4 linked regions of the Alligator mississippiensis genome follow. The protein of the gene in region 1 binds, or shares a complex with, the protein of each later gene. Links are inferred from orthologs where the notes say so. Each region holds a gene or a part of one and is shown on either strand. Other genes may lie near its edges.

Evidence for each region.
Region 2: POLE3 (region 1) and CHRAC1 share a complex: the UniProt entries of both Homo sapiens proteins name them as parts of the CHRAC ISWI chromatin remodeling complex. The link is inferred for Alligator mississippiensis from reciprocal best matches to the Homo sapiens genes POLE3 and CHRAC1.
Region 3: POLE3 (region 1) and POLE4 share a complex: the UniProt entries of both Homo sapiens proteins name them as parts of the DNA polymerase epsilon complex. The link is inferred for Alligator mississippiensis from reciprocal best matches to the Homo sapiens genes POLE3 and POLE4.
Region 4: POLE3 (region 1) and POLE2 share a complex: the UniProt entries of both Homo sapiens proteins name them as parts of the DNA polymerase epsilon complex. The link is inferred for Alligator mississippiensis from reciprocal best matches to the Homo sapiens genes POLE3 and POLE2.

The regions. Positions count from the first base shown.
Region 1 is NC_081835.1:48,960,138-48,968,172, reverse strand, and holds the start of POLE3 (DNA polymerase epsilon subunit 3), read right to left. Parts: upstream 3,207-8,035; 5' UTR 3,125-3,206; intron 3,084-3,124; exon of another isoform or gene 2,903-3,083; intron 2,638-2,902; 5' UTR 2,622-2,637; coding exon 2,556-2,621; intron 1,754-2,555; coding exon 1,668-1,753; intron 452-1,667; coding exon 333-451; intron 1-332. Other genes in the region: C12H9orf43 (uncharacterized protein C9orf43 homolog), read left to right, coding at 3,568-3,835. UniProt on the Homo sapiens protein: Accessory component of the DNA polymerase epsilon complex. Participates in DNA repair and in chromosomal DNA replication.
Region 2 is NC_081826.1:7,832,427-7,840,074, forward strand, and holds CHRAC1 (chromatin accessibility complex protein 1), read right to left. Parts: upstream 3,459-7,648; 5' UTR 3,427-3,458; coding exon 3,292-3,426; intron 3,166-3,291; coding exon 3,039-3,165; intron 1,656-3,038; coding exon 1,525-1,655; 3' UTR 605-1,524; downstream 1-604. UniProt on the Homo sapiens protein: Forms a complex with DNA polymerase epsilon subunit POLE3 and binds naked DNA, which is then incorporated into chromatin, aided by the nucleosome remodeling activity of ISWI/SNF2H and ACF1.
Region 3 is NC_081839.1:9,696,199-9,704,099, reverse strand, and holds the start of POLE4 (DNA polymerase epsilon subunit 4), read right to left. Parts: upstream 3,396-7,901; coding exon 3,180-3,395; intron 1-3,179. UniProt on the Homo sapiens protein: Accessory component of the DNA polymerase epsilon complex. Participates in DNA repair and in chromosomal DNA replication.
Region 4 is NC_081825.1:304,176,972-304,184,966, forward strand, and holds the start of POLE2 (DNA polymerase epsilon subunit 2), read right to left. Parts: upstream 3,173-7,995; 5' UTR 3,160-3,172; coding exon 3,092-3,159; intron 3,084-3,091; exon of another isoform or gene 2,899-3,083; intron 2,125-2,898; exon of another isoform or gene 2,070-2,124; intron 1,279-2,069; coding exon 1,178-1,278; intron 1-1,177. Other genes in the region: UDP-N-acetylglucosamine transferase subunit ALG13 homolog, read left to right, coding at 3,285-3,848. UniProt on the Homo sapiens protein: Accessory component of the DNA polymerase epsilon complex. Participates in DNA repair and in chromosomal DNA replication.

The sequences.
Region 1 (8,035 bases):
AAACTCTAAAGGATATGCAGGTCAGCAGAATGTTTATGAAGATACTGAAGCTTACATGTAGCAGGAAGCACAAAAGACTCTACCTAGACAAAACTGATGGGGGAAGGTTACATGAACCACAAAAGTGCCTCCCCAACCAACAACAATTATAAAATTACACCACACCAGTACTAATGAACCACATGTTATTTGTCCCCATGCAAACTTCAATACAGGCTGTGGGGCAGAGATGAGAGACATGGCACAGGGAACAATATTGGACAACCAACTTTCGAAATAAATAGGAGCTCATACTGCTAGTCCTTACACAATGTGAATTTAGAGAATGTTACCTTCCAGTGATTCTTTTAAAGGGGCTACAAATCGCTGGAACTCCATTTCCTCCATGGCTGAGAGAACGTCTCCAGCATTAAGTGTTTTTCTCTTTCCTTTCATTGCAAAGTTATTTGCACTAATTGAAGACAAGCAGAATAACAGAAATCAAACAGCAGAAATTGACTCCATTTACCAGTGGTTTTAAGCATCACGGTCAACTCGAAACGTTTCAGAGAGTAACGATTTTTGTCACCAGTTATAAGTAATGCTTATAATTGACCAGGAAATTAACTATAACAGATTAAAAACCAAACAAACAAACAAACAAACAACCAACCAACCCCCCTTTGTGTTTATACTCTGCATTTATGTTTGTAGCCAGTTTTTGTTTAGTTACATTTTTCTGTTGTTGTGGGAGTTTCATAGAAGTATAACAGGGAAAATTATTTATTGGTGTAACTGTAAAACTGAAATGGCAAGTTTCAAGGCAGGTGCACTTTTAAAAAATTGCCTTTAAGAGACATTTGAATGTTAACAACTTTAGATTTAATCAAAGAGTATAGATGTACAAGAAGGTGAAACGGTCAGCTGTGGGACTCAGCTGCACATGGTCCTAGTGGCTGGGTGCCTCCGCTGCTGAGAAGACAATAAGGCACAGTGTGATCTATTGCACAATTCCATAAACATTCCTCCTGCCATGCACGTGTACTTAGATCACATGGCACCTTTACCTGCACATAGAGAGGGGTCCTAAGTAATCAAATAAACTCTCAGTGACACACCCAGTAATTTCCTAGTCTGTTTAGAACAACATTCAGCAAGCAAGTCAAAGGACTATGATGGAATCACATAACAAAACTAAAAGGCACCCCTTCATTAAACGGATGTTTGATTAAAAAAAAGAAAAAAAAGGCTGGATACTTTTATGACCAATATCACCACTGTTATAGCTAGTAAAGCAAACTAAAATGATCAGGTAAATCAACTGTTATGTTTGATGGTTAAAGATGACCACTGGCAAGTTTATGGTAATTCACCACTAATAGTCCATGCCCTCATTATTAAACACCATAGAAAGCATTTTACAGCAGCAAATATTGTCCACTGGTACAGAGGCAAAGCGATTTTTGCCCAGAGGGACAAATCATCATTGGCACCATGGTGCTTAATCAAGAAACTATCATGAATCACAAGATTACATTACAGGTTAAGACTCCATGAAGCTTTAGCAACCCCTCATAGATATTTATCACCAATGGGTATTTCATGAGAAGCAGTGAAAATCCTGCCCCCACAAGTGGACTATCTGCAGATCAACTAGTTGTTGTTGATTTGATCCAAGAGATGCTTACCATGATGTTGCATACAGCACAAACACACTTGCAGCTCGAGATATTGCACTTCGAGCTTCTTTGGAAATATTTACTCCATCAGGAAGCTGAAAAGAAAGCAGCATCATTTTATCAGAGGCAATGCAGTTCATACAGGTCAGGAAGCTGCAAGGAACGATTCAAGCTTTACATAATTTCTGCCTGAAAGAACCGGTACAGCAGGGGGAGATTGAGGCAGAGGGAGAAAAAATTATTTGGGGGTGCGCCTCCCCAGCAGGTAAGTCCCACATAGCTGGGGCCCCACTCAACTTACCCCTGCTCCTGCAGCACTGTCCCTCACTGTGGGGGCCTCGATCTAGCCCCCACCCCTTCCCTACCCCACAAACTGACCCGCTGGGCTGGGGCGCATGCGTGCAGGAAGAGCACGCAGCAACTGCTGCAGCGTCCTTAGCCTGACAAAGGGTTTTTGAACCCGAAAGCTTGCTTAATAACTATTCTCCAACCATTTGGGTTGGTCTAATAAAAAATATCAAATTCACCCAAGGAACCTTGTCTGCATGCAGACAGGCACTCAGCCCCCGCCCCAGCCTCGGATCGACTCCAAGACTTACCGGAGGATCGAGACCCACTGCTGTACAGCCACCCGTTCAGCCAAGCCACGTAGAGACTACACGGGGAGAAGTCACCAGCAAGGCTAAAAACCAGGTGTCTATTCTGGACACATCAAACTGCTGAGTCCAAAAGCAGTTAGTTACTCTAACTTCTCAAATATACAATCAGAAAGGCCAAGGATTTAACCTCTTCTTCCCACAGTAGTCAATGTAACAGCTGTCACGTTTCAGATGTCGAGGGGTAATCTCAAATGTGCAGCATCCATTTATCAAGCGTCTCGATACTGACGGTACTTACTGCTTCTTTAATAATCCGAGTGATGACAGCGTTGGGCAAGTTCAAGTCCTCTGGTCGTTCTGCCATCTTGGGACACCTGGAACTAAAACCAGCGTTATGAATTCACCAGATGCTTTTCTCTCCCATGCAGCTCTGCTTATAAAACACTCGGTCCCATGACAGGTATCCCCCCAAGACATCCTTGCCTCTCCTAGTCTACGCTTGTTTCATCCATGCAGCAGATCTAGCAAGTCCTACTTTGCAAAGCGTCTAGAGCAGGGGTTTCCTACCACAACCCCCGCGCTGCCTCGAGATCCTGACAAGGGTGCCGCGGGGGCCACGCGGCCAGACGCGCCCGCACCACTCACACGGTAAACACTGAGGGTCAGGCAGGCACCCGCACCTCCGGCCTGTTGCAACGAGACGGCGGCTCTAGTTTCCCGGAAGGTGAAAACCGAGGGGAGGGGAAGAGGAGGCGTCTTCCGAGGGGGCCTCGAGTCCAGAGAAGGCGACACCCGCTCACCGCGCGCAGAGGCCCGGCCAACCGAACCGCGCGCCAGCCCTGACCCCTGACCCCTCCCAGCACGCACCGCGCCGCCCGCCCGCCGGCGTAGTCGGCCTCTCCTTTCCCAGCGTGCACCGCGACCGCTCCTCCTCCCGCGCGTGGGTGGTTGCCTGGTAACCCGCGCGGGCGGGCCTGGGCCCCCGCTAGGGCGGCCCCGCGGAGAGGTGAGCAAGGGGGCCCCGCGGCCAAGGAGGGCCCGGGGGCGGGGCGGGGCGGGGTTAGCCGGGGAAGGGCGGAGGTGGGCGAGGCTTGAGGGCACTGGGCGGGGCTGGGGTGGGGGTCCACTTTGTGAGACTGGGGTGGGCTGGGCGGGGCTTGAGGGCACTGGGCGGGGCTGGGTGGGGGATTCCACTTTGTGAGGCTGGGGTGGGCGGGGCTTGAGGGCAGTGGGCGGGGCGGGGCTGGGTGGAGGGTTCCTCCCTGTGAGGCTGATGGAGCTTGGCAGGTCCGTGGCCTGGGTGCTGCAGAATGACGCCCTCCTCCCCCTGCCCTGTGGGCACTGTCTCCTGTGGGCAGGGAGCCCCACGGCCACGTGCTGCCAGGTCACTGCTGTCCCCCATTGCCCGAGTGACCATGAAAACGGCGGACGTGGACCAGTGGGATGAGACCATCTGCGACATGGCTGCTTGTCCGCACCCGCAGTGCTGGGACACCCTCCGCAGGGTGGAGCAGGGACGACCTCGCATTCGTGCCAGGGACTTGGACCCGCTCTGCAGAGCGTCTGTGGAAAGCGAAGGTAAAGCCCGAGGCAGCGGCACCACTGGCAGGACAAACACGTTCCTCACGTTAGTGAATCCTGATAAAGTTTCCCTGGAGTTAGCAGGTCGGGTTAAACCCTGTTCATCGTCATACGTTTAAAAGCTGAAAACGACCATCGTGTTGTCTAACCCAGTGGTGCTCAAACTAAGGCTGCCACCGCGGCCCTGCCGCCAGATCTTTGGACCCAGGGGAGCCCTGTGGTGTGGATAACACAGCTCCAGGGGACCCATGGGGACAGGCACTTGGAGAAGAAAGGACAGTTACTTACCTTCTTACCGTAATTGTGATCCTTCATGATTGTGTATGCATCTGGATCCCGTGTATGGCAGGTCCCAGCCACAGGGGTAGCTGTGACGCTCTCCCGTGGCCATGCAGCCCCTGCCTGGTCAGGCTCTAATGTAGCCCCTCTTTGATCACTTGCCCACCACACCTTGTTCTTATCTGAGAGATAATGTAAGGGAGGCTGCCAGTGGGCTTTGGAGTGAGCCTGAATCATACAAACCACCACTGGGCCCCTTATGGACCCCCCTAGTCATAGCTCTGCCCTCAAGCTAAGTAGCCCCTCTCAGCCTGCCCTTGTCTCTGCAGGGCATTTGTAGCCTTAAGGCAGGGGCAGGCAGTTATTTTGGGCGGAGGGCCACTTACTGAGTTTTGGCATGCCATTGAGGGCTGCATGGCAGGCAGCCAAGAGCAGATAAATATTAATTTTCTACATTTTTTAGGGGCCCCGCAGGCTGGATAGAACGGCCTGGTGAGCCACGTCTGGCCTGTGGACTGTATTTTGCCGACCCCTGCCTTAAGGGCTCATTGCGAGGCTCCCTCCTTCCCTACACCACACTCCATGCCTTATGGGTGTTATTTTCAATGATGTCACCTGCTGTTTATTATACTTAGCTCCTCTCTGGGCTCTTCAGTGCTCTCAGCCCCTCTCTTTGGACTCTTGGCCTTCTGGTTACCTGCACAGCCCACCTCTGGGCTCCAGGACCCTCAGGTCCCACATGCAGCCACTTGTGGGGTCTTGGACTTTGGTCTCCCACTGAGTCCCCTCTTGAGCCCTCAGAACCCCTGGTCCCACATGCAGCCTCTCTCTGGGTTTTTGAACCCTAGTCCCAAGCTCAGCCTCCCCTTCCCCCCAGGCTTGTGGACCCGCTAGTTCGGCTCACAGCCCCTCTCAGGCTCACGGGCCCTCTAGTCTGACTCTCACCCCTTCTCTGGGCCTGCGGACACTCTGATCTGACTTTCAGCCAGTCCCTGGCTCCTGAGTCTCCTGTTCTCGCACTCGGGCACTCTCCGTGTCTTTAAAGCTTCTTCAGTCTTGCTCTCAGCCCTGCTTTGTGCTCCTGGATTCTCTGATAACACTCCCAGCCCCTCTCTGGCCTTGGGTTCATGGATCTTCTGATCCCCACCCTCTGAGCTCCTGCACTTTCTGCTGGGCCCCACTCTCAGCCACTGTTGGGCTACTGGCACTCTAAGTAGGCCTTGAGCCTGCCCTTGTAGGGCTCAAAGCTAAACCACTGATTCAACTTAATAAAAGGATCTGCAGACACTCAAACATTCTCTGGGTTATAACATAAAACCAAGGCCACCTGCCTGTATAACAAGCCTCTCTTTGCCTTGGGTACCTTCGCTTGTTCCCAGCATTGCAGAGTTGCTTCCTTTCAGTCTATTTAGGAGCTCTGTTGCTAAGAGCTCCTCATTTCATGACTCTCAAAACTAAACTGCATGACTCGGCCAGGCCCAGGGCTTATATAGCTCAAGCACGACCTGCTGCTAGTCAGGTGAGTCCCTAATTAACCCCCTTCGCCACCTGCAAGGTGCCTCTCAAAAATAGGCACACCTCGGTGCTCTGTTACACCATGGTCCACGTACCTTTCATGCAGCTGTTGGTTAGAAGATCCCAGTCTCTTTTGTGCTCAGGGTATGCATTGTGCCAGGAGTGGGATCAATATGTACAAGACATCTAAAAAATGGCAGTAACTGTAGCGTAAGTCCCTGTCTGTTTGGTTTGAACTTCCAGCCATTGACTTCTGCTATGCCGTTATTTTCTAAACTGAAGAGTTCTTTAGGACCCAGGATTTTTTCCCCATAAAGGTACTTATCCCCAATAAGCAAGCCATCTCTCAGTCTTCTTTTTTGTAAGCAGGCAGACTGGAGTTCTTCAAGTCTGTCATTGTCATAGATTTTCAAATAATTTCTATGGTCTTTTTGCATCATTTCAATTTTTTCAGTATGCAGCTTTGTGGCATTGAGCTCACTGATGCCTATGTATATGTAAAATCACATCTCTGCTTTTACCTACTATCCTTATCTTTGAACCCCAGTGCAAGGGTCACACTTGTTCTTTTTATCATAGGATTATCCTGGAAGCTTATTTTGAAATACATGTCTACCATGATGCCTGAATCCTTTTCAGAGTCCCTACTTTCTAGGCACCATAAGAGCACCTGCAGTCCCTGATTCTGTATTTGTTCCCAGATTTATGACCTTGAAATTGGATTTATTAAAATTCATTTTGTTTGAACTGGCCCCACTTTAACACGATTCAGATCATTCTGTGCGATTGTCCTGACCTATCATAGATTCATAGAAAATTAGGGTTGGAAGGGACCTCAGGAGGTCATCTAGTTCAACTGCCTGCTCAAAGGAGGACCATTCCCAACTAGATGATCCCAGCCAAGGCTTTGTCTACTCAGGTCTTAAACATCTCTAAGGATAGAGATTCTACAACTTCTCTGGGTAACCCGTTCCAGTGCTTTACTACCTTCCTAGTGAGAAAGTTCTTCCTAATATCTAACCTAAACTTCCCTTGCTGCAACTTGAGACTATTGCTCCACCCTTCAGGTAGTTGAAGGTTGCTATTAAATCCCCTCTCAGTTGTCTCATTGCCAGACTAAATAAGCCTAGTTCCCTCTGCTTTTCCTCATAAGTCGTGTGTCCCAGCCCCATAACCATTTTCGTTGTCCTCTGCTGGACTCTCCAATTTGTCCACATCCTTTCTGTAGTGGGGGGCCCAAAACTGGACACAGCACTCCAAATGTTAGCATTTCCCCCTCTTAGTAGTAAGCCAGTATCCCACTTCAGATTTTTCAGTCACGGTAGTAGTGTCTTTCAGATGAGATGTAAAACTGGTATCCTGACCACTTAGTCTTATTACAGATCCTCTGACATTTTTTATAAGAAGGAAATATTAAGCCTGATGTCATGTCCACCTTCTAACCAAGACTACATTGAGCATCCTAAAAGTTCCTCATGTAGTTAAATTTGGGTCATTCTTTATTTTCTGTAAGGAACTCTTTTGTAGTATTACTGTGCACTGGTAAACAGCTTCTATGGTGCACGTCTGAGGTGGTTGAATTTAGGTGCTGGATAGCCCCTTGTTTATCCAGTTTGAAAGGTGGCAAGGTTATGAGGCTTAGTTAATTACTTTTTTCAAAATTCCTTTCACATCCTTTGGTAAAAGGCACTAGAAAAGACGAAGAGTTAATTATATGATCATTAGTCACTGTTTAAATTGGACTGACAGCACACTGATGAGGCTGAAGTGCAGGGGTGGGCAAAATACAGCCCACAGGCCGGATGTGGCCTGCAAGGTCATTCTACCTGGCCCACAGGGCTCCTAAAAATTTTAGAAAATTAATATTTATCTGCCCTTGGTTCCTGTGAAAAATGACAGGAGCCTGGGGCAGTAGGATCCAGGGCAAGCCCCGGCAGGCTTCTGCAACAGCAGGGCCCCCCCGGCCTGGCCCAGCCCCCAGCCAGAAGCCCCAGCAGGAGTTCTGGCCCGGGCCCCAGCTGGAAACTCAGGTAAGGGGGGGAGGGCAGGGGAGGAACCCAGGGAAAAGTGGCCTGGGGAAAAGCTGAGCGTGGGGAAAAGCGGCCATTCCCCTGCCCCATGGCTGGTGCTCCCCGCTGCAGTTGCTTGCAGCCTGCGCGGGGCTGAGCAGGCACAGGCAGCCCCACACGGGCTGCGAGTGGCTGCAGCACAGGGCGCCGGCCACAGGGCGGGCAAAGGGCCACTTTTCCTCCCCTGTGCTCAGCATCAGCTTGTAACCTGCCCCCGCTGCCAGTCTGGGCCCTGTGCTGGCTCCAGGCTCGCCCATCAGGGGTGCATGTGGTGGCAGCAGCTTCACTCCCCCGCTTGCTGCACCAAGCAGTGCTTGCCACTGCTGCCTCTGGG
Region 2 (7,648 bases), on another chromosome or scaffold:
GTTGTGCCAGCCAAGCGCCAAGCCCAGCCTTGTTATCCCCTGCAAGCGGAGCTGCAGCACATGTTCACCCCTCAGGTGCCCGGCTGCAGTGAGGGCATGCAAGGGGCAGTATAAGTTAACCCCGTATTTCGGATCCAAAAAGTTAGGAATTTCATAGTTCTGGTGTATACGTCTTCTTAACTTTTTAGATCAGAAAAACGGGGACTTATACACCACATCGACCTATACACTGTGAAATATGGTAACTTAATTTACTACTTCTCCAGTAAGCGTCTTAGCCAGAAAGAGGGCAGATGAGACTGAAACATTTCTTTACAGGGGCATGGCCAGGGTTTATCCAGGCACGTTTCCCCTGAAACACACTGAAGCTGACCCACAACAAAGAATGTAAACTATTTGGAAGATCAGTGTGAATTCCTAGTGTCCCTTCTCCCCCCTCCCACTCAATCATTACTTTGTACTCATGGCTAGTCTTTTTTTTTTCTCCAACAGGATCCACATTCATTAAGTTTGCCCATCAGCAAGTTTGGGACAATTATGTTAATTGTGCACCAAAGATAAACTGGAAAGCCTACAGATGAGAAAGCTGTCAGGACCCTCTACATTAAATTCCACATTTTATAAAACATTTATTTAAAAAATTGTGTACAAAATTTTCTACACAGGGCTGTTTCCAATTTCATTGTAACAAAAATATTCCAGCTCTACCACTGACATGGTAAAAGGACTACTTATTTTCTTCCCATACAACCACCTCTAAACTTCACACAATATGCGTGTTGGTTAAATACCATAAACAGTATGCTGCAAAAGTAGAGACCTTGCTGAGGAAAACACAGGTTCTAGATGCACATATTTACACCACCTGCTAACACTTGTACTTCTTCATCACCACTACAGCCACAGACCTACACCACTAATTTGAACTAGTCTAGCCCTGTATCCAGTTTCCTTCTAGAGGAAGGAAGAGATTTGGACAGCACTGCAGAAGTCATGTTGGTTTTTAAGGGCTTGATCCATGGGTAGGTTCTAGACCCATATAGGAGAACTGGGATAGAGATCTGAACCAGTTATCTGCTTCTTGGCTGGCAGAAGGCAAATACTATTGATAGAGTATATACAGCCTCTTCAAGTTGATTACCAACAGCATCAGCTGTAAGAGGGGATCCATTTAACCACCTAGAGAGAACGCGAGAGACCTTTGGCCTGGATGATGAGGGCTGCCCACAAGAAATGTGGTAATGATTGTCTAAGTTACTTTAAAAAGAATGAGCTAGTTCTGTCTCCAGATCTGTAGGAACTCTTCCCCTCGTGTGTGTGTGTGTTTGTGTGTGTGTGTATCTGGGGGATAATTCTGTCCTTCAGGCTGTGTGTGTGTCATTGGATAAAGCTTCTTAAAACAAAAATAGAAAACAGGTGACTTCACATACAAATAAATCCAGCAGTTGGATTCTCAGTCACAAAAAAATAACATCTTTTATACAACAGGAAAAAGACCGAATATGAAGACAGTCTGATAAACCCTTAAGATTCGGCGTCTTCTTCACTCTCATCTTCCTCTTCTTCCTTCTCCTCCTCCTTCACCTCTCCATCTCTCTTCTCCTTTTCAAGCATTTTCAGGTATTTGCTAGCTAGGATCTTCTTTGGCAAGATATCTGAAAGGCAGAATTGCTGATTTTGTGCTCATTTAGAACAGTTATATTTAGGACAGTTATTACTGTGGCATTTAAAGTCACTAATTACTAGCTGCACAGTTCACAGAATGCAACTTTTTAGTCTAGGGAACAACAAGATGAGTTATTTCAATCTATAATAATCATACTTGGAAGAGGAACAATGGCTAACGTAATAGTAGAGAGTTTTCATCCAATTAAGGCTCGAACGCTAGAATTTGTCTTCTTTTGAGAGAGATTCTTAATTATAGAGGTTTAAATTCTGAAACCTGTTATGCTGTTTTTAGCCGGTTGCAGTTGGTGTGGACGCTGCCACTGCCACGGTCAGCAGTTACTTGCACCGTAGAACAACACTGGATATGAGGTTTACCTGCTCTAGGTATATCCCTTGCAAGCAATTCCTCTATGCTCCATTTAGGGATCTGTCCAGGACACCATTATAGATCAGGGGTGCCAAACATGCAGCCCGTGGAGCTATTTCATGTAGCCTTGCTGGTAGCCCGGCGGACTCCTGGAAGTTGGGGCGTATGGCCCGCCACACAATTTGGGGTCCGTGGACCCCAATGGACATGGCCATCAGCAGCAGCCCCCCAGCTCTGTGCTGCTGCCTGAATGCAGCCCATCACCACCACCACCCAGCCCTGGACTCACGTTGCTGCCTGGATGTGACCCTACCACACTGGCTGCTGGCCCCACAGATCTGGCCTGGGGGGAGACCCTGCAGTTCAGATCTGGCCCGGGGTAAGTTTGACACTGCTCTTACAGCTGATGACCTCGAGAGATGGGAAAGTGGACTGCTTGCTAAGGCAACACTGCTAAAAAGGTGCCTAGAATGAGACCACCATCCTAGCACGTTCTTATGAACAAGCAGGGCTAACCCCAAAGCGCCCAAGTCCGAGAGCAACACGTGAACGTTTGTGGTCCTGTTCCCACCTCAGACGCGTTTGTGCATCGAACGCTCATCCATTCATAGCTCTGAGCTGGTACGTTTCCTAAAAGCCTCCCCCACCGCCTGCCTTGCTCTTCTCTAAGCGGATTTACAGGTGTGTGGCCTGGTGGGTAAAGCAGACGATGCGAGCATCAGCGCTTCTGGGCTTTACACCCAGATCTTACACTGCCGTAACTGGGGCTGCTTCACCTCCCGTCGCTCGGCCTCCTCATTCGGACAGCCGTGACGCGACCGTTGTGACAAGGCATCAAGGCGCTCGACGGCGCCGACTGTCCCCAGACGCCGGCCCAGCGCGTCCCGCGACTTCGTACTGCGGCGCAGACGGCCCCCGTCGCGCGATGTGTGCCGACGCCACGGGGCAGCACCGTGCGCGAGACCGTGGCTTTGCCCCCCAGCCCGCCCGCGGCGACACGCACCTGCGAGGAACTGAAAGGTTTCGCACTCCTCGGCCGTGTGCGACAGGTCACTGTAGGTCAGGGCTCTCTTCTCCTTGCCTCGCCCGTGCTTGTACGAGTACGAGGCCAAGTACTGGACAAACAGCTCCTGCAAACCACCGGAAGAGAGACGTCAAGAGCCGCCTTCCCGCGCCGGCCCCGCTTCACGCCGCAGCGGACGCTTGCCTCCCCCCACACCCCCGCATGTCCCCCCCGGGCGGGCCGAGGGCGGTACCGTGGCGCGGGCGGTGAGGAAGAGCGCGTCCTGGTTGATGCTGGACACCTCGGGGGAGCTCTTCATGATGACGCGGATGCGGGACAGGGGCAGCGACACCAGCCGGTTCTCGCCGCCGCTCGGCCGCGCCGCCATCCTGCCCCGCGCCGCGGGGGCCGCCGGGAGCTGTAGTGCTGCGCCGTCGCGGGCGGGAGGGAGAACTACGAGTCCCAGCATGCACCGCTCGCCTCACCACCACCTCCTCCTCCTCCCCCCGCGCGGCGGGAGAAGGCCTACACGTCCCAAGATGCACCGGGGCGCTCAGGAACTCACCCCTCCCCCCCCCCCCCGGCCTCCGGCGCGCGGAGGGGTTTGAGCCCAGTCGGGGTCAGACATGCGCGTCCCGGATGAGCATCGAGAGCGGAGCAGGGCGGCATTGAGACACGTGTGTGCCCTGGGGCCATTCTTCGGTGTTCCCCCCCTCCCCTCGCAACACACCGTGTCTCACCTGCTACACAGTCCAATGAAACCTGGGTCCAAACCAGCTGTGGAGTTGTTACGTGTTTTCAAGCACTAACTTTATGTAGCTGCTCGGCTCGCTTTCCAGCTTGGTAGTCATTTTTGTCCTGTGATCGTGACTTCGTGTGTGTGGCTGGTCTGCATTGATCGCAGGTAGCCGCGCGATCCTTACTCGGCGCTCCTGGCCCGTGTGACTTTGCAGGGGCCTGTGCTTCAAGCTATTGCAAAAATGTCTTGCCTCATTACACAAAAGGCTTCACGGCTAAGAACTGTAAACTGCAAATTGTTTCTTCTCTCCCCCACCACTGCGGGGCCAGGAAGGGTGGGGGGCCTGTTAGGGGGAGAGCACAGTCTGAACAATGCTTGGTTCACGATAAGGCTGATTCCTGTGGGAACACAGATTAGTTACTGCCTGCTTTGCACGTAAACTTTGTAGAAAACTGTAGCAAATCACAGATTGCCACAATGGGATCTTGTTCATGAGAGGTATCAAAATGTATCTTCGGGCGTGGCTAGGGTTCGACTCGGATTTGGGCTTTGAGCTCCCTTGTTGATCTGTTTGCAAACAAATAAACTTGAGATGGATCCAGCCTGAGTGTGTATGACTCTCCCTTGAGGTATATTGGAAAAGCCTCCAGGGACACGAAACTAGCCATTTGTGCAACAAAGCTAAACTGTTTCTGGGCTTAGACGGCCTGTAGGAGGGATGTGGTCACGCACCCAGCACGAAGCGATGCAGGGGTCTCGGGTCTCCAACACGGTTCTGAGCCCGCTGAAATCAAGTGGGGTTTTGCCGTTTATTTTACTAAAGCCAGGATTTCATCCATAATCTCCAAGCACCGATAAACATGCATGGTGATGTGCTGCCAGAAAATTACGGTCCATGATCGTTGGTTGGAGCAGTCTGACACTGCATGATAAATTAATGATGATAAATACTTTGCATTTCTAGGGGTTTAGGTTGTAGCCGTGTTGGTCTAAGGACATAGGCAGACAAGGTTCCTTGGGTGAATCTGATATCTTTTATTAGACCAACCCAAATGGTTGGAGAATAGTTATTAAGCAAGCTTTCAGGTTCAAAAACCCTTCGTCAGACTAAGGAAGCTGCAGCAGTTGGTGTGTGCTCTTTCTGGATGGGATGAAAAGTGAAGAAGCCAGGGGCTGGGCTGGGCTGGGGAGTCAGTTGCCAGGCAGATTATAATGTATCAAAAATCCAGTGTCTGTTTAGTCCATGATCTCTAGCATCCAGCAGGTTGATGAAATGGAGCTCATAGGCTCATCTCTGGGAAGTGGTGTGTAAATTTCCCTTGAGGATCAGGACTGAGAGAGTGGCCCTCCTGTGAGAAATGTGCCCCCACCGGTAATTGGGTGTTTCTGTCTTTGATGGATTTCCGGTGTGCGTTCATTCTGGTGTGCAGTTGTTGTCTGGTCTCTCCTACATATCTTCCATCAGGGCATTTGGTACATTGGATGAGGTATACTACATTTCTGGAGGTGCAGCTGTAAGATCCTGGGATGCTGATGGCTCTGTTGTGGGGTGTAGTAATAGTGGGGGTGGTGGAGATGTGTTGGCAGGTTTTGCATTTCTTGTCCTGGCACGGTCTGGATCCTTTTGGTGTGTTCTGGGCTTGAGGAAGTTTGCTTCTGGTGATGAGGTTGGCGAGGTTTGGTGCTTGTTTGAAGGCTAGGATGGGTGGCTCTGGGAAGATCTTTTTAAGAATAGGGTCTCTTTCTAATATGGGTTGCAATTTTTTGAGGATTTTCCATACAGGTTCAAGGGATGGATGATATGTCATAACCAGCGGTGTGCAATTTGTGGGTGTTTTTCTTCTGTACTGCAGCAGTTCTTCACGTGGTATCCAGGTGGCTCTTTCAAACGTGCGGTTTACCTCTCTGGAGGAGTGTCCATTTCTAGAGCATTTCTAGAGCACCTTTATTCTGAGGCTGGGCGGACAGGTGGCTTCATCACCTGTGTGACATAGGTAAGAGATCCATAGTGATATCTTCATCCACCACATCTCATCTGCAGGATACAAACATGCTACACCTCAGTTTTAGGTAGGAATGGAAGTGTAAGATCATACTAAATAGAAAATGCAGGGGATCAGGTACAATGTAATTAACTGCCTTGAGCTACAATCAATAAACTAGGGCTAAACTCTGAGAATGAATGAATCCAAGCACCTACCTAATGTGAGTGAGCATCTCTGCCACAACTCTAGGCTGCAATGCCATGCCAGGTGACTATCTGAGTCATTAGTATAGCTCCAGCAACATTGTAGTCTCCTATACAATGGAATAGGAAGTCTCCTATACAATTAGTAACCACGCACAACCAGTCCCATGAGACTAACTTTTCTAGGGCAGAGGTTCCCCAGTCTTTTTTTTATTTTATACCCCTTTCCAGATTTACCAGCGGCCCACGTAACCTTACCACATACATTTTATATTTTAACCCCTTAAATGTCAATTATTAAAATAAAAATTAAATCTGCCATTATACAATTTCTCCTGAGTACTCCCCAGAGATGTCTTGCCAGAGTTACACGTACTACAGTTTAGGAACCTGTTTCATAGTTCCAGGTGGTGCCTGGGGGGAACAGAGGCTCACCTATTTTCCACTGGTCCCCCCTGGTGAGTTTATAGACAGACACCAGATCCCCTCTCAGTCTTCTCTTGTAGAGGCTGAATACATTCAGGCCCTTTAGTCTATCTTCATAGGTCAGGCCCTTTAGTCTATCTTCATAGGTCCTGGCCTGCTACCCCCTGACCATGTAAGTGGTCCTCCTCTGGACCCTCTCAATGCTGGCCACATCCCTCTTGAAGTGCGGTGCCCAGAACTGGACACAGTACTCTAACTGCGGCCTGACCAGCGCCGCATAGAGGGGAAGGATCACCTCCCTGGACCTGCTTGTGATGCACCTACTTATGTAATCATACTTGGAAGAGGAACAATGGTGCAGTTTTCATTGGTGCAGTTAGCTTTACTGACCACTTCCTCGCATTGGCGGCTCATGTCGATTCTGGAGTCAGCAATAACTCCAAGATCCCTTCCAGCCACTGTGTTGTTGAGAAGGGTGTTCCTCAGCCTATAGGTATGTTGCAGGTTCCTTCTCCCTAGATGCAGCACCTTGCGCTTGTCTGTGTTGAATTCCATTCTGTTCTCACCTGACCACCTTTGTAACCTGTCTAGATCTAGCTGGATTCTGTCCCTCCCCTCCAGCGTGCCCACTTCTCCCCACATCTTTGTGTCATCCGTGAATTTGGACAGCGTGCTTTCCACACCCACCTCCAAGTCGCTGATAAAGATGTTGAATAGATATCTGTTCTATAATAAGGACGTGGTGTTTGTTTTGTGTAAAACATTTGGTGTGAACAATCATTCACCATGATGCTATGTGCATTGTTTTTACTGTTTAACTCTCTGTATGGTTCCTTGAGCCTTACCTTGTCATGACATCTTGTGGCAGCAGTTGGCATTACTGTCACAGTAACCTAAAGACGAATGCAGTGTATTCTTAGCCTTGTCCAAGGCTATCCCAGCCATGCAGTTAGTCCAATAAAGGACAACGCTGAGCTACAACATCACTCCAACACTATCAGAGTAAAATAATGAATAGTGTAAATTAAGAAGAATTATCTTGGATATTTCACAGGGTTAACTGTACCACAAAGAGTCAAGGGTAAAAACAGAAGTTAAAGTTTGACAGCGAGCTCATATGTCTGTAGGATCCCGGAATAAAAGGCGTTGTCTAGGAGAAATCTGACATCTGTTCTTAGCCTAAGGACTAGTATGACAAGCCTTGAAGATGACAGGGGTGAGTTAGTTTCAGAGCTGTTAGTATTGCAGGACTGAGGA
Region 3 (7,901 bases), on another chromosome or scaffold:
CAGGAGGAAATTGTAACCCCTATCAAGAGGCTCCCTTTGCCTTGAACAGCTCCAAGACTGTCTGACAAAATCATTACACTATTAAGACAATTGCTGCACAACAGGGAAAAGTATAAACACGGCAAAGGCATCCTGCATGCATTAGGCAGCGAGGGAAGACAGCGTGACTCTTGCTTTTAGTTTCTGGCAAACCATCAGCTGTAAACATGCAACATATTTTTTTTGGATTCTGAGAGTCAGTCTTCAGCTCTGTGCCCACGCTCGACATTCATACCCCAAGACCCGAAACTGGTTTGGGATTTACTTTGGGAAGCTCCAGTCTGGGCTTCCATGAACCAGTGGTACTTTAATTCCAGGAAACAATGTAAAGCAATGCTTTAGCCCAGATCAGCAACCTACAGTCCACAAGGTATCAGTAGCACACAGCTTGGCCCAGTACATTGTCCCTCTCCACCTAGCACCGTGCAGCTGATCCCCCCCCGCAGCAACACCCCGTGACACACACGGCTGACTGTCATCGCTGAATTTGGGCTTATCACTACCTCTGGGGCAGGGATTGGAGGTCCATGGTGGAGGCAGCAGCAGGCAGGTGTCACTATAAAAGGGAGAGGTGGCCCAAGGCAGCAGGAAGAAGCAATAGTTCATGGCGACAGCCAGGTCACAACCAGTGGCCCATCACTCTAAAAGGCTACAGACCCCTGCCTTTGCTAAAGGCCATCCCATTTCTGGGCAGCGGGAGCCACAGGTCCAGTGGGCTACAGTCTCCCAGGCCACAGGCAGGATGGGCTGCATACTGTTGGGGTGGTCCTCCTGGAGCCTCTCACCACAAAGGCAGTCAGCAACCCCTACATGTATCACCGCATGCACTATGTGGACAGCCAAGCTCCTCTCCTGACCACATGCAGAGCCCAAATAGCCTAGCTCCTCTCTTGGGTGTGCACACAACCAGGCTTCCCTCTCCCTCGGGTGCATGCCGGACTCCTCCCCAGTCCTCCTCCCACTGTGCTGCCCCATGCCCAGGAGTGAGGAAAGGAAACAGAAGCCAGAAGAGAAAGGGGGATCCCACAGACCCTGGCCACCATAGCAGCAGGAGCACTAGCAGTAGTGGTGGCTGCATTGGAGCCCACAGGCTGCATGTTAGCCCCTTGCAGGCCGCATGCAGCCAGTCAGACAACCCTGCTTTAGCTCATAAAGAGGTGACCAATCTGTTCAAGGACAGCTCCACTCAAAGTTAATTATGACACGCGATGAGTTGACGTGGCTGTGCAATCCAATGTAAGGCATTTGTCAGAGACACCCAGCACTGCTCTGAGAGTTGATACTACTTTTAACATACAAATTGCAATGACTTGTAATTACCTTCTCTCACTACCAAGACAGCTTCTTAACTGTAGCAAGTGAATACATCTTATGCAGTGCTTGGAAGGCCACTAAAATCAGGCTGCGACTTATCATTGAGGGGAACAAGGTCTATGGTTGAAGACCTCATCCAGTGTCCACATACCGGCTTCTAAAAGAGCAAGCCTTGGAACTAAGAGCAAGAGCAGCCCACCTGTTCTCTTTCAGAGTACCAGGAAACAGTTACCAGAAAGACCATCTAGGTTCCAGGATACTTTCAGCTAATTGATCCTAACACCTGGAACTGCAACTAGAAGAAATCAGCTAGGAATCAGTGTAGAGCACAGGTAAAGAAAATACTCATATAAACTTTATGCAACTAAAAAAAGGGGTTCCCACATTCTGCATTAACTGAAGGTCCCAAATGCTCTTCCAAGACAGCCCCAAGTAGAGGGCACTATATTCATTAACAGGTGAGAAATGCTTTTTGCAATAACGTCTAAGGCAGAAAAGGAGGCGACAGCCTCCTGGACAGCACCTATAACCATCACGAGTACGTGAATCCCAAGAACCTGACGCTGGGGACATCTCTGACGAAAAGCAGACCTGGGAGCAAAGCCACTCTGCAGACTTCTGTCGGCCAGCCAGCACTACCGAGGTTGACTTGAACCTAAACTGGCGCAGAACCATCTATGTCCCAACCCTGCCCAAGGAAAGGCACGAGGAGATCGCAGAGCAAGTTACAGAGTATTTTCAGTGAGGACAACAAGGTGGAGTACTGCAGGCTCCCAGACCTGACAGCCCAGCAGGAGATGAACTATACCTCTTCAAAACCTCAAAAGAGCCAAAGAAGAGCCAAAAAAAAGAGCAAGAGAAGCCTCAGAAAAAGAAGCCAACTTGTTCAGCAGCCACAGGAGCAATCGGTGTTCAAAGAGCTGCAACAACACAGACCCAAAGCGGCAAACACACTCCAGCTCAACAGGAAATATCCCTCCATTAGTGAACGCCTGCACAGTCTGACAGGGGAGCCTCCTGCCACCGATCGTGCGGGACAGCACAGCGAGACAGGCGTACCCCACAAGCAAACTCCGCGCACTTCCTACAAAGAGCTACAGGTGAGAAGAGGCGGCTCAGGAGTCAGGGCTGCACTATCCCCATCCTCCCCTGGTGAAGTGCCCAGGGCATCCCGTCTCCTCCGGCCTCCTGTGGGCGCAGCAGTCTGCGGGGGAGGCCTGCGTGGGGGAGGCCTGCGCGGTGCAGCCCTGCGCTCTTTCGGCAGCTACGTGACAGCACTCGCCGAGCCCAGCTGGCAGCCGCGCACCTCTGGGTCCGCCTGGTGCGCTCCACGTACCACCTCGTTAGTCTAGTCACGGCACAAAGGTACCAACGTCAGGCCAGGCCTCTCTTGGACGGCTGTCGCCACCGTGTCAACCAGCACGGCCGGCTGCGCCGTCCAGCTCTCGGCGACTAGCCCCGCGCCCGCCTGGGTGAGGAGGGTGCGCGCGCCCGCCCGCCTGGCAGCACTCGAAGCAAGAGGCAGCGGGCGCCCATCCGTACCCGGAGGAGACGGGCGCTGCCACCGGCCACGAGAAGCGGCTCACCTAAGCTCGCAGCCTGCCGGCCCCAGCCCCGGCCCGGGCTAGCGGCGCGGCGCGGCGCGGGGCCGTGACAGCCGCTTTAGCGGGCGCAGCACCACGCGCGCTGCGGGCTGCCGGGGGAGGCGGCAACACCCTCCCCCTGGGGCGGGGACAGCCGGAGCGGGGCCCGCACGTGCGCGGCGCAGCGCAGCGGGCAGGGAGGAAACGCGGCGCTTCCCCCGGCCCCGGCCCCGGCCCCCTCACCGCGGCGCGGGCCAGGACGAAGACAGCCTCCTGGCTGGCCAGCGTCACGTCGGGGTCGGCCTTCACCAGCGCCTTCACCCGGGCCAGCGGCAGCCGCGCCAGGCGCAGCGGGGCCGCACACGGCGCTCCCGGGCCCGGCTCCTCCTCCCCGGCCGCCGCCGCCGCCGCCGCCCCTACCACCGGGCCCGGCTCCGCGCCCGCCGCCGCCGCCGCCATCCCGCCCCGCGCCTGCGCACCGCGCCCCGCCCCGCCCCGCCCCTTCCTCCGCTGCCCGGCCCGCTCCCGCTCCCGCCCTGTCCGCGCTGGCGGGCGCCCCTCGGCCGCCCCGGCCCCGGCCCCGCGCCAGGCGGGCTGAGCTCGTGCCATCTTGCACCGACAGACCGGTGCAGCGACCCCCACCCAGCCAGGCGCCGGAGCGGCTCGGAAATCTCCGTGTTTGGGGGGCTCGCCCCGCTGCACAAGAAACCCCCGAGATCGCACGAAAAACACAGCCGGCTCAAGCTGCTGCCCAGGACGGGCTGACGACATTCACGGTCGTGCTGTGTCCTTGCACCGTGCCATTCAAGGCAGGCTCCTGCTATGCTCTGCGTGCCCAAACAGTAGTTATCCCGGTACACAGCCACCTGTTTCCCCTGCGCAGTGTGGCGTGGATGCTGTCGCGCGTGCGCCGTCGGCAGGGAGGCAGCCCCACACCCTCGCTCACGCCTCAGCAGAAACCCCCAAACTCTGGTCCAGCAGAAACCAGGGCCGGCGCACGGTGCAGCCCAGAAGCCAAGGGCTCAAGGCACTCGCCCAGGAATGGGATGGAGGTCCTAGACCCCTCTCACCCCACGGAGGTTGAAGCTGCATCTTGCTGACTGCCCAGAAATGGGTCTAACCACCAGGTCGCAGATTAGGGCAGGGGCGGGCAATTATTTGGGCCCACGGGCCACACAGGCGGTTCTGGGGAGCTGCCGCCAGCCAGTAAGCACCCCCACCCCAGCAGCATGGAGCCCACGTGCCCTGTGGCTCCTCCCTGCCACCGCCAACAGCACACGGCCCTAGCCCTGACCCCAGCCCCCCCATGCCCTCTCCGGGCTCACCCCAGCCGGAGCAGGCACGCACACCCCTGACCCCGGCCTGCCCGCACTGAGCAGTGGCAGCAGCTGGGCAGAACGGTGTGGAGGAAAGCGGCCACCTCCCTTTCACTGCTGCCAGGCCCTTCTCGCTGCAGCCGCCCGGAGTCTGTACCTAGGCTGCCCTGTGGCTCCTCTCTGCTGCCACCACTGCCTCCTCCAGGCCACCCAGCGGGGCAGCGGTGGCAGGGCAGAGGAGCCGCGAGGCAGCCCAGGTGCAGGCTCAGGGTGGCTGTAGTAAGAAGGGCCTGGCAGTGGTGAGAGGCCACTTTTTGCCCACACCCAGCAGTAGCTTCTGCCCAGCCACCACTGCTGCCACCGCTGCTCAGTGTGGATGGGCAAGTCTGGAGGAGGCGTGGGGTGGGCTGCGGTCAGGGCTATGCACATGGGTCCCTGCCAGTACCGTGGGGCTGAGGCCAGCAGCAGCTGCTTGGGCTGCCTAGAAGCAGGGTGTGTCACAGGTTGGACAGGACCTGAGCCAGGCAGGACTGAAGGACCTGCTGCAAGCCAGACAAAGTCTCTCCATGGGTCAGATCTGGCTTACGGGCCATATTTTGCCTACCCGTGGATTAGAAGCTAGCTAGCCTACCTCTTGAAGCTGAACCACTGCATGTTGAATCTAATATTTACTAGATAGAAAGCAGAAGAAACATTTACACACCATTGGGAACCAGGCTCCAGGCTGGAATCCAGGGTCTATTCCCTTCCAGAGTAGCAGCTCTCTCGTTAAACCAGGCACTTTCTAGCATGCTTGCTTTTTCCTGGCCCTATGCAGTTTCCTCTCCCAGCTGCCCAGGGGGCCAGGTAGAGAGGGCATGGAGTAATGCCTAGCCTGCAGCCTGATGGTTGGAAGACTAAACCTGGGAAGGTCCAGGTTCAAACCCGTCTGTATGAGAGGAACCTGGGTTTTCTATTTCCTGGGTAAGAGCCCTGCCAACTCAGGTCGTGGGGCTAAAGTTCAGATGGGCCTTCTGCCCCATCTAACACCTCCTAGTAATGGGTTTTTGTGACTTGAATTTGCCTACCATAGTGCATATGGGGCTGAGTACCTGCTTGGCCAGCTTGCAAGCTACCATGCATCCTCAGTAGTTACGTGGATGCTTACACATCCAAGCTGCATGTGGCATAGGATCTCAAATTGTGTAAAAGTGTAAAAAATGGCAGTTCCTGGGCTGGTAACTCCTATTTGAGCAGTTAAAGTGAAATAGGATTTTGTCCTTTGTGTTTTGTTTGTGTCCTTGCTGCTTGCTACTTTCTGGGATTTTGATATACATATTCAGATTAAATTCTGGTCTGGTGGAAAGGTGTTTAATCTCAGATAGCTGTGAGCAAAACCCAGGGTGCTTGAAAACTTATCTACAAACTTTTATTTGCTGATGCCTGTGCCTTGGTTGCTCATTCTTAGGAAGATATCCAAGTCATCAGCACAGGGCAGAGAGGTCCATCGAACTGCCAGAGACAGACTTGCCACTGGAAGGCAGAAATGATTGACCACCTCTTCTGGGACTGCCCATATGCCAGAGAGGTATGGAAGAAAATCTGTGCACTCCTCCTGGTGGTGACAGGTTTCAGAGACCTGACCAGGGATGCGGTTCTCTACGGGCACCTGACCAGACAGCAAGGGACCCCGGCAGCTCACTTTGACCAGTTTATATCCTGCTTCAGGTATGCACTATGCAAAGCCAGGAACCTGCTCATCAACAAACACTCAGACCCCACAGTCATAGACTGTATTCAAATCGGACTAAGCAAAATGTACTGGTACTAACGGAAAACAGAAGATGATGACGGGAAAGAAGTGGTAGACCTCATCTGGTGGAAAGGGGTCTGGCTCAGACTTTTTTCAGGAGCAGGCATGGAGATGGGTGCATGGATAAAGGGTGTGAATTGTGTAACAGGTTTTTAGCATGCTTTGATCTGCCAAGTGAACCACAGGGGCCACTTGGCAGTGCTGGAGATAGAGTTATATATTATTTATTTATATATAGATATAGATATATTTTTGTGCAAATATAAAGAATCCCAAGTAGCTGCATACTAGGCCTGTGCGATCCGATCTGGCTTCGGATACAGCTGCTTCAGATGGCAGTGATGTGATCCGGAGCTCCGGACCGGGTTTCCACCTGGATCCGGCCGAAGTGGTTCCGAAGCTGCCTTGGAGATCCGGCTATAGGGTATAACGGAGGAATCAATGAAATATCTATAACTTTGGTGTTTTTTGTCCGATTCGGATGAAACTTGCAAGGATGGTAGCCTCTGCTGAGAGCACAAAACCCGCCAAGTTCCAAGAAGATTGGTGCAAGGGCTTGGGGGTAACTGTACCCCAAATTCTTGAAAGTCAAACTCATGCCATGGCTGTGTTACAACACAGGGGGGTCAAAACTGCAGGGCTGGTAGCTCTTACTGAGGCCACAAAGCCTGCCAAGTTTCAAGAAGATCGGTGCAGGGGTTTGGGGGGGAACTGCACCTCAAGCTGTGGACAAGCAGAACTTGTGCCATGGGTGACTCTGTGTGTTAAGACACAGCAGGGTGACAGCTGCAGGGATGGTGGCCCCTGCTGTGACGCCTGCCAGCTGTGGAGGAGATCGGTGCAGGGGGTTCTGGGGCTCTGCACCCCTAGCTGCTGACAGGCAAAACTCGTGCCATGGGTGCTTGTGGGACTGATTATGTCGGTCTTGGGGCAGTTGATTGTCTGTATTGATTCTTTCCTCTCCTTAGTCTGGTTTTGTAGGTGCTAATTGATGGCAATTAACTGGCTACATTAGCCAAGTCCTGTGTATTGAGCTGGTCCCTGAGTGAATTATGACTGATTGGTAACTGGTAGCACAGTAGCTTAGCAGCCAGGCCTGCAGTAGCGTCTCCCACGCCCCAAGAATTTGGGGTGTAGTTCTCCCCAAACCCCTAGACTGATCTTCTTGAAACTTGGCAGGCTTTGTGGCCTCAGCATAGGCTACCATCCCTGCAGTTTTCACCCCGCTATGTTGTAACGTCTAGAAGTGACACAAGTTTTGTTTTCAAGAATTTGGGGTGCAGTTCCCCCCAAACCCCTAAACCTATCTTCTTGAAACTTAGCAGTCCTTATACCCTCTATAGAGTCTACCACCTCTGAAATTTTTATCCAAATTGGGCAAAAAACAAGAAAATTATAGATATTTTATTGTTTCCCCATTATACCCTATGGCCGGATCTCCGAGGTGGCCCTGAAGCTCTTCAGGAGCTCTGACCCGCTTCAGGAAGCCTAACAAGGCCAGCGCTTTGATCCGGGCATGCTACTTCAGACCCCAAAGCATCCAAAGCTTCTCCAGATCCGAAGCCCTGTCTGAAGCCTCGCACAGCCCTACTGCATACTCACATTTTGGACAGCCTACTAGTCTAAAAGAAGTCAGAAGATCTATATACCAGCCTGCTCCTGCTAAGCCCAACATACTCTCTAATAGGGATGATTAATGGTATGTGCTTCAAGCTTTGGATGAATTCACCAACTTGGGTAATGCACTTTAAACATGTACTTCACATCCATTATGAAGTTTCCAAAAGAACTGATAATGCTAGCACAATCTTTGGAAGACTATCCGAATTTTGTTGGAACAGGTGATTGCATATAAAG
Region 4 (7,995 bases), on another chromosome or scaffold:
CAGGGAGCAGATTCAGGCCGACCTGGACAGGTTGGAGCAATGGACAGAGAGAAATAGGATGCAGTTTAATAAAGAGAAATGTAAGGTACTCCACCTGGGAAGGAGGAATCCCAGCACACCTGTAGGTTAGGAAAGGTCCTTCTCAGCAGCTCAGAGGCAGAGAGGGAACTTGGAGTCATAATTGACTCCAAGATGAACATGAGCCGGCAGTGTAACAAGGCCAATCGCACCTTGTCGTGCATTAGCAGGTGCATGACTAATAGAACAAAGGAGGTGCTGCTCCCCCTCTATGTGGCATTGGTCAGGCCACAGTTGGAGTACTGTGTGCAGTTTTGGGCGCCGCACTTCAAGAGGGACGCGGGGAATCTGAAGAGGGTCCAGAGGAGGCCACTCGCATGATTAGTGGCCTTTGTGATAGACCCTACGGAGGGAGGTTGAGAGAGCTGAATCTCTTCAGCCTTCACAAGAGACGGCTTAGGGGAGATTTTGTGGCCGCCTATAAATTTATTAGGAGAGGTCAACGGGGAATAGGGGAAGCGCTGTTTACTAGGGCGCCCCAGGGAGTGACTAGGAATAATGGGTGTAAACTAGTTGAGAGTGGATTTAGGTTAGATATTAGGAAGAAATTTTTCACAGTAAGGGTGACCAGGATCTGGAATGGGCTTCCAAGAGAGGTGGTTGTTATCACTTAGCTTGGAGGTCTTCAAGAGGAGTCTACATAGTCACCTGGCTGGGGTCATCTGACCTCGGTCTTCTTTCCTGCCAGGGGCAGGGGGTCAGACATAATGACCCATTGTGGTCCCTTCCAACTCTACAAGCTATTAATCTATGAATTCAGCAAAACAGGATCTCAATAGATCTAAAATGACACCTTAGTGCACCAGGGACCAACATTTTTGGCAAGCACTGACCTTCTCCCCCATGCTCCCTTCCCCACCCTGCCGAGTACCACTGATCTCCTTCCCCTGCCCAATCTGCTGCTCTGTCCTATCTGCCACTGTACTCCCTGTCCCCCAAGGCCTCCATCTGCCACACTACCCACGTCATTTCTAGCACATGTACCACAAGCTGACCACCCCTGACTTACTGTGTAAGCTGCTAGGAGGCTTATTTCTGTAAAACTAGTATGACAAGGGTAGAATTAAATTAGAAGGCTTTGAAAAAAATGGTTACTTACAAGGCTGTTTTTCAACAGCTTCAATGATGTTCTCGATGGCATCTTCCAGCTCTAATTCACCGACAGACTGAAGAGATTCAGTGAGATACTTAATGGCATCACTGGTGTAAATAGAAAAGTTAGCCAAGAAAGGAAATGAATAGTCAGTAAACAAAATATATACTTTACAACACTACACTACTATAGTATATCATTTGATGTACATAAAATGTTATACAGCTTGTGGTTATTTGAAAGGAAAAGGGTGGAAATAACAAGCCTAGTCCTGCATCCTTATCAATCAAAGAGTCTCTGAAATTAAAATCCCTAAAAAAACCACCAAAATTAAATGTGAAACAGGCCCTAGCAACCTGATCTGTGGGAAGAGGCTCATACTATAATCCTGTCCTACTTCCCCCACCCCCCCCAAACCCCGTGTGGGCTTTTTAGAGAAGACTACTTCAAGTTTGATGTTTTATAAATAAAGAAACATCTGTGGAAGACACTTCCATTATTTAAATGTATAGGGTGCTAAGGCCGTGGTGTAAATAAAATCTTCAGAACATTATCCAAATAATTTTTCTTAGTGTCTCTTCAGTGCCAGAAGATGAAAGGCCAAAGAAACACAGAATTATAGAAAATGAGGGTTGAAGGGGCCTCAGGAGGTCACACCTAGTCCAACCCCTGCTCCAAGCAGGACCAGCCCCAACTACATCAACCCGGCCCAAGTTTTGTCAACCGGGACCTTGAAAACCTCCAAGGATGGAGACTGCACCACCTCTCTGGGTAACCTGTTCCAGTGCTTCACAGCAACAAGAGGAGGATCAGGGGAAGTGTGGGTCCTTTACTGAATTGGGGAGGCAACCTAGCGACAGATGTTGCGGAAAAGGCTGAAGTGCTCGATGCCTTTCACCTCAATCTTCACAGGCTACTGCACCAAGCAGCAGTTTGGGGAGGAGGTGAGCATCCTACAGTGGTGAAAGAACAGGGTAGGGACTATTTAGAAAAGTCACTGTCCTCAGTGGGGGCAGATGACAGAACAAGGAGCAATGGTCTCCAGATGCAGCAAGGGAAGTTTGGTTTGGATACGAGGAAAACCTCTCTTGTTAAAAAGGTCATAAAACACTAGAACAGATTACCTAGCACGGTGGTGGACTCTCCATCCTTGGAGGCTTTTAAGACCCAGCTCAAGAAAGCCCTGGCTGGGATGATCTACTTGGGGCTGGTCCTGCACGGAGGACGCAGTTGGACTAAATGACCTCTGGAGGTCCCTTCCAACCTGCATTTTCTACAATAACTTTCTCACCAGGAGGGTTTTCCTAACATCCAACCTCAACTTCCCTTGCTGCAGCCTCAGCCCATTGCTCCTTATCCTGCCATCTGCCCCCACTGAGACCAGCCCAGCTCCATCCTCGTTGCAGCCCCCCTGCAGGGAGGTGAAGGCTGCTGTTCAACCCCCCTCGGTCTTCTTCTCCAGACTCAATCAGCCCAGTTCCCTCGACTTCTCCTCTCCTCACCAGCGCTGTCCCCAGCCCCCCAGACCATTGCTGTTCCCTGCGCGGACTCTCCGACGCCTTTACACCCATTCTGGGGGGGGGGGGGAAGGGGCAAAACCGGACAAGGCATGAACAAGATGAGTAGAAAACCAGGAGAAGGAAGCCAAGGGAACGAAGAATACACGGGGAAAACATTCTCCGACTTGGAACAAATCTTAAAAGTCACGAGGGCTCCCTTCCTCACACCCAGTCCCGTTGGTCCCGTGGGAAAGGAGCTGCGAGCCAGCCCCGTGCGCACGCCGGCCCTCGCGGACAGCACGGGGACCGGACCGGACCGGGCAGCTCCCCACACCCGTGTCACGGCGGGGCCGAGAGCGGAGCCGCCTCCCTCGCTCGCTCGCTCGCTCCGGGCCCCGCGGGCAGGCGGGCGGGCACTCACGCGCGGAGCAGCAGCCCGTGCAGGCGGAAGGCGGCACCCAGTCTGCTCCGCAGCTTCTCGGCCGCCATCTTGGTCGCGGGCTCCGCCTCCTCCTCCTGCTCCGCGGGCCCGCGCTCCTCGTGGCCGCAGCCCCGCGCCCGCGCCCGCGCGCGGGGGCTGGTGCCTGGGCGCGAGGCCGGCTCTCCTACAAGCCATGGCGGTCTCCTCCGCTGCCCCAGGCGCGGGGGGCTGCCCACTGGAGGCCCGGCCCGCGCCCGGCGCCACCAAGTCGGCCTTCGTCACCGTGGGCACCACCTGCTTCGACGAGCTGATCGCGGCCGTGTCCGCCGCGCCGTGCCTGCGCGTGCTGCGGGGCCTGGGCTACGGCAGGCTGGTGCTGCAGATCGGCCGGGGCACGCGGGCCCCGCGGCCCGTGCGCGCCCCCGACTTCGCGCTCGAGGTGTTCCGCTTCAAGGACTCGCTGGCCGAAGACCTGCGCCAAGCCGACCTGGTCATCAGCCACGCGGGCGCGGGCAGCTGCTTGGAGACGCTGGGCGAGGGCAAGCCGCTGGTGGTGGTGATCAACGAAACCCTGATGGACAATCATCAGCTGGAGCTGGCCAGGCAGCTCCGCCGAGACGGCCACCTCGTCTACTGCACTTGCAGCACGCTCGCCGAGACCCTGCAGTCCGTGGACTTGTCCCTCCTGAAGCCCTTTCCTCCTGGGCGGCCGGAAAAATTTGCCGCCTTCTTGGATGATGTTCTTGGCCTTGAATAAGGCCCTCGGGGAAAATAAAAATGCCTGGCCTCGTGTGTCTGTCTGTCTGGGCGTGCTCTTTGCGTCTCAGCTGCAGTGGTCTTAGACCAGGGGTCGGCAAGAGAGCGCCAAGGACACCCGCAAGCTCCGGGGCCTGTGCCACGTTGGCGCGCTCCGCAGAGCTGTGAGGTGCTGATCCTTGTTGTGGCAGCACGGCCCCGGTGCCCTCCCTGCCGTCCACCCCAGGCACAAACACAAACTGCGTGCCACGCTGACACCCGTGCCGGGGGTTGCCTACCCGTCCTAGGCTCTGTCTCCGTTGCCATAAGAACGCAAGAAGTGCCATAGTGGGTAAGACCACCTAACCCAGGATCTTGTCTCCGAGTGGCAAGCGGAGATGCTTTGGACAGAGACCATATGAACAGGACTTTCCAGCATATAATCCGTACTTTATCATAACCTCTCTGGCATCAAGCATCCTTGGTTTAGGGATATCAAGCAACATCCCCGACTATTCTATTTCATAGCTATTAATGGGCCTTTTTTGAACCTGTTTATTATACTATACTGTCTTTTGCTATCAGGCTCTGGGATGACTTTCCTTTCCTTCTGCTTTGTGAAAACCCAGGGGAGTTGTTTTCTCTCCAGATCCCTATCTGGCACTGAACGTGTGGATCGTGAGGCAGTGTACCCTTGCCCATTGGTGAAACATAAGGGCACTTTTTTTACATGTACTCGGGGGGGGGGGGGCGTAGTTTAATTACAGCAGCTCTGTCTGGGACCCACTTTAATAAAGCACCACTGTATGTCGTGTATCAGCATCCCCACACTTAAACATGGCAGTGGGGGTGCTTGAACTAAAGCTTGTTCGAGACACAGGAGGCTGCTGGAGTGGCAATTGCCAAGCTCCAGCAGACTCGATTAATCAAGTCTGCTCCGAGGCACTGGGACGCCAGCACAGTGCAGCAGCCTCGCTGCTCGTGTATAGGCACCCTAAGACACTTTTTTCCAAACACAATTCTCAGGCACAATTGTACCTCAGTGTCTGTAGTCTGCCTCACAGAAATTATGACCCTATAACACCCATCATTAAGACTGAACAGTTGTGTTCAAAACCTATCCCCAGAGACAGGATTTCAGAGCTGTACAGTCACTTTTTGTCATAGAGCACTTTCCTCTCCACACCTAACGCTGTTCCACATATACTCTAAGCAGAGCTGCTTACCTGTCTGCCCAGCCCAGGCAAGGCTAACACCATGCCCAAAGTCTGTTCAGACCCTTCTTTCAGTCCCCTTCCCCGTTATCGCAGTCCTGGAATCCAAATAGGGGGCATTTTAGTTGCCTGGGTACACTCAGCAGGGGCTTCTTATTCAGGCTCTGTACCAGTTCATGATCAGAGTGCGTGTCTAACTTGTGCTTCATAAGAGTTTTTCTTGTTTGAGCACATCTAGGTCTGCCAGGCTCTCAAAAGTCTACTAGCAAATGCAAGCTTTCCATCAGTGCTGCTGCTAGTCTTTTTTCTGAGGCATTATAGATTGCAAGTCTAGCTATTCCACAGGCTTACTGGACTTTAGGACTGGTGCATCACTTATGATTTAGTTGTACTTTGAAATGCCTGTTCGTGGGGCTCTGACCATTCCTGTGCTGTATATTGTATATTGCCAACACTTCATCATGTTCCTTCAGTCTAATATTGTTCTTTAACTGTGTAGCTGGGATTAGATTACTCCTGGCTTCACAAACTACTTGAAATAACATTAGTTACTGGACCAATAGCATTCTTGCTATTCAGGCAGTTGAATGACTGCCAGCTTTCTTCTGCAGCAAATGGATATGGAGAGCCTTTGTTTCTGCTGAAGTTACAGCAGATATCCTCCTTTTCATTGGGAATCTCCACATCCTCAAACACTGCACATAGTTTTTTACTTCCTGTAGCAGCTGCTGCATGAGGACACGAGTGGCTGTTTATCATAGCTCTTTAACTGTTGCCCATTATCTTTTTGATTTCACATTGCTTTCCATATGCTTTCCGGCATGTGCTAGACCAGGGGTGGGCAATTATTTTGCCCCATGGGCCACATAAGGAGTTGCGGGTAGCAGCTTCAGCAGGGGCCGCTCACCTGGGGCCTCCACTGCGGTCTCTGGGCTTCCGCACCCAGCAGGGAGGAACGGCAGGGTAGCCCCCAGTGCAAGCTCTGGGCGGCTGCAGTCAGAAGGGTTCAGCAGCAGCAGGGGAGGTCCTGCTTTTTCCCTGCCCCCAGCAGCAGCTTCTGCCCAGCTGCAGCTGTCCATCATGACTGGGATGGGTGAATCCAGTGCGGGTGCTGCAAAGATCCTGACCCCGAACGTGGAGTGGGCTGGGGTCGGGGCCAGGGTTGTGCGCTCTGCCTGGGGCTCAGGCTCTGTCCGCACAAGTCCTGGCGCAGTCTCCATGGGGCTGGCAGCAGTGGTAGCAAAAAGGAGACTGCTGCTGGGGCTGCCAGGAAATGGAGTCCAGCCACCAACCTGCCCAAGCCCTGTTGCACGCCCAGGGGCAGTGAGATGCACCACAGGCCGGATGGTGCCAGAGTCAAAGTCCCACCATGGACCAGATCTGGCTCCTGGGTTGTATTTTGCCCAAGCTTGTGCTAGACCATGGTGCTACTGTTCCTAGTCAGTCTGTCTCTGTCCTGCTTACTGGATTCCTTTAACTGTAGCCTGTAGATGTGTTCTGCACTAGTGGCAGCAATAATTTATTTAGATTCTTTCTCTGAACACTTCAGCTACCCTCTTTTGTTTGGAGGCATAATTTCTGCACTGTCATGGCTACATTACTCTTAAACTACCTAGTTATTTGGAGACAAGGTTCCTTGTGTGAATCTGATATCTTTTATTAGACCAGCCCAAATGGTTGGAGAATAGTTATTAGGCAAGCTTTCGAGTTCAAAAACCCTTCGTCAGGCTAAGGAAGCTTCAGCAGTTGGTGTGTGCTCTTCCTGGATGGAATGAAAAGTTATTTGGAAGCATTTATCTCAGCAATTCTGTTCTTTACGCTATAATCATGTTGGCTGAGACGATTGTTTTAATTTCGAATCTTGAATGTCTTCAAAGTTACTTATGGATGCCAGTCTTCAGCTCTGTGATGTAAGTATCTCTTCTTTCTTATGTCTTATGGTTCCAAGTTAGAAACCAGTATCCTTCTACCTTTGTATTCTTTATCAGCTGTTCCAGTATTGTACCAGTATTCCTTACAACATCGTTTTTTCCTCCAGTGAAATAGTAAAAGCCTTGATCATAATTTTTTCATCATTATTCCCCATAGTCAGCTCTTTTGTAATTGCGACAAGTTTCTTTGGCTGGGAATCTGGTATTCCCAGTGGTGCGTGTGCATGCTGTATCTTTCTTCTTTTGGATTGTTTTATCAGCCTATTAATCATGCCCTCTTCCTTGCTGTAGGTTTCACTAGACAAGCCCCTGGCACATTCATAGGTGGTTGCAACACTGGGGGAGAAGGCACCCAGACACCTTGGTCAGCTTCAAAGCCATTTTGCCCAGCTGTTGGGGCCACCCTACTTCAGTAATGATATCCCTCCGCTCCAACAAATCCCCTGCCTGCTGAAAGGGGGCTTAAGAAACACAAGGTCTTGGGATAACACAATGTGGTGCGTCTGCACCAGGGGCGGGCAATTATTTTGGGCAGAGGGCCGCTTACTGAGTTTTGCCAAGCCATTGAGGGCCGCATGACAGGCAGCCCAGGGCAGATAAATATTAATTTTCTAAATTTTTTAGGGGCCCTACAGGCCAGATAGAATAGCCTGGCAGGCTGCACGTGGCCCGTGGGCCACATTTTGCCCACCTGTGGTCTACACATTCACTGCTGTGTCGTAGTTACAGGCAACTCCCGCATCGCACTCTTAAACGGTTCCTGAAAAACCAAGCCTGAAGCGACGAGCGGAGACAGCAACCACGATTGTTATTAACGACCCAAGATAGCGACCGCGAGCATTATAGCAAAACTCGCTGAGCGCCAAGCGAAATCAGGTATCCATTTAAAAAGAGCGTTATCGCAAAACAGCGCCAGGCAAAACAGCGTTAAGCGGGGGTCGCCTGTACTGCATAGTTGAGTACTTCCTCCACGAAGCACCGTGTGAACGCTTACTGTGTGGTAGCGCTGCCAGCACACGGTTTT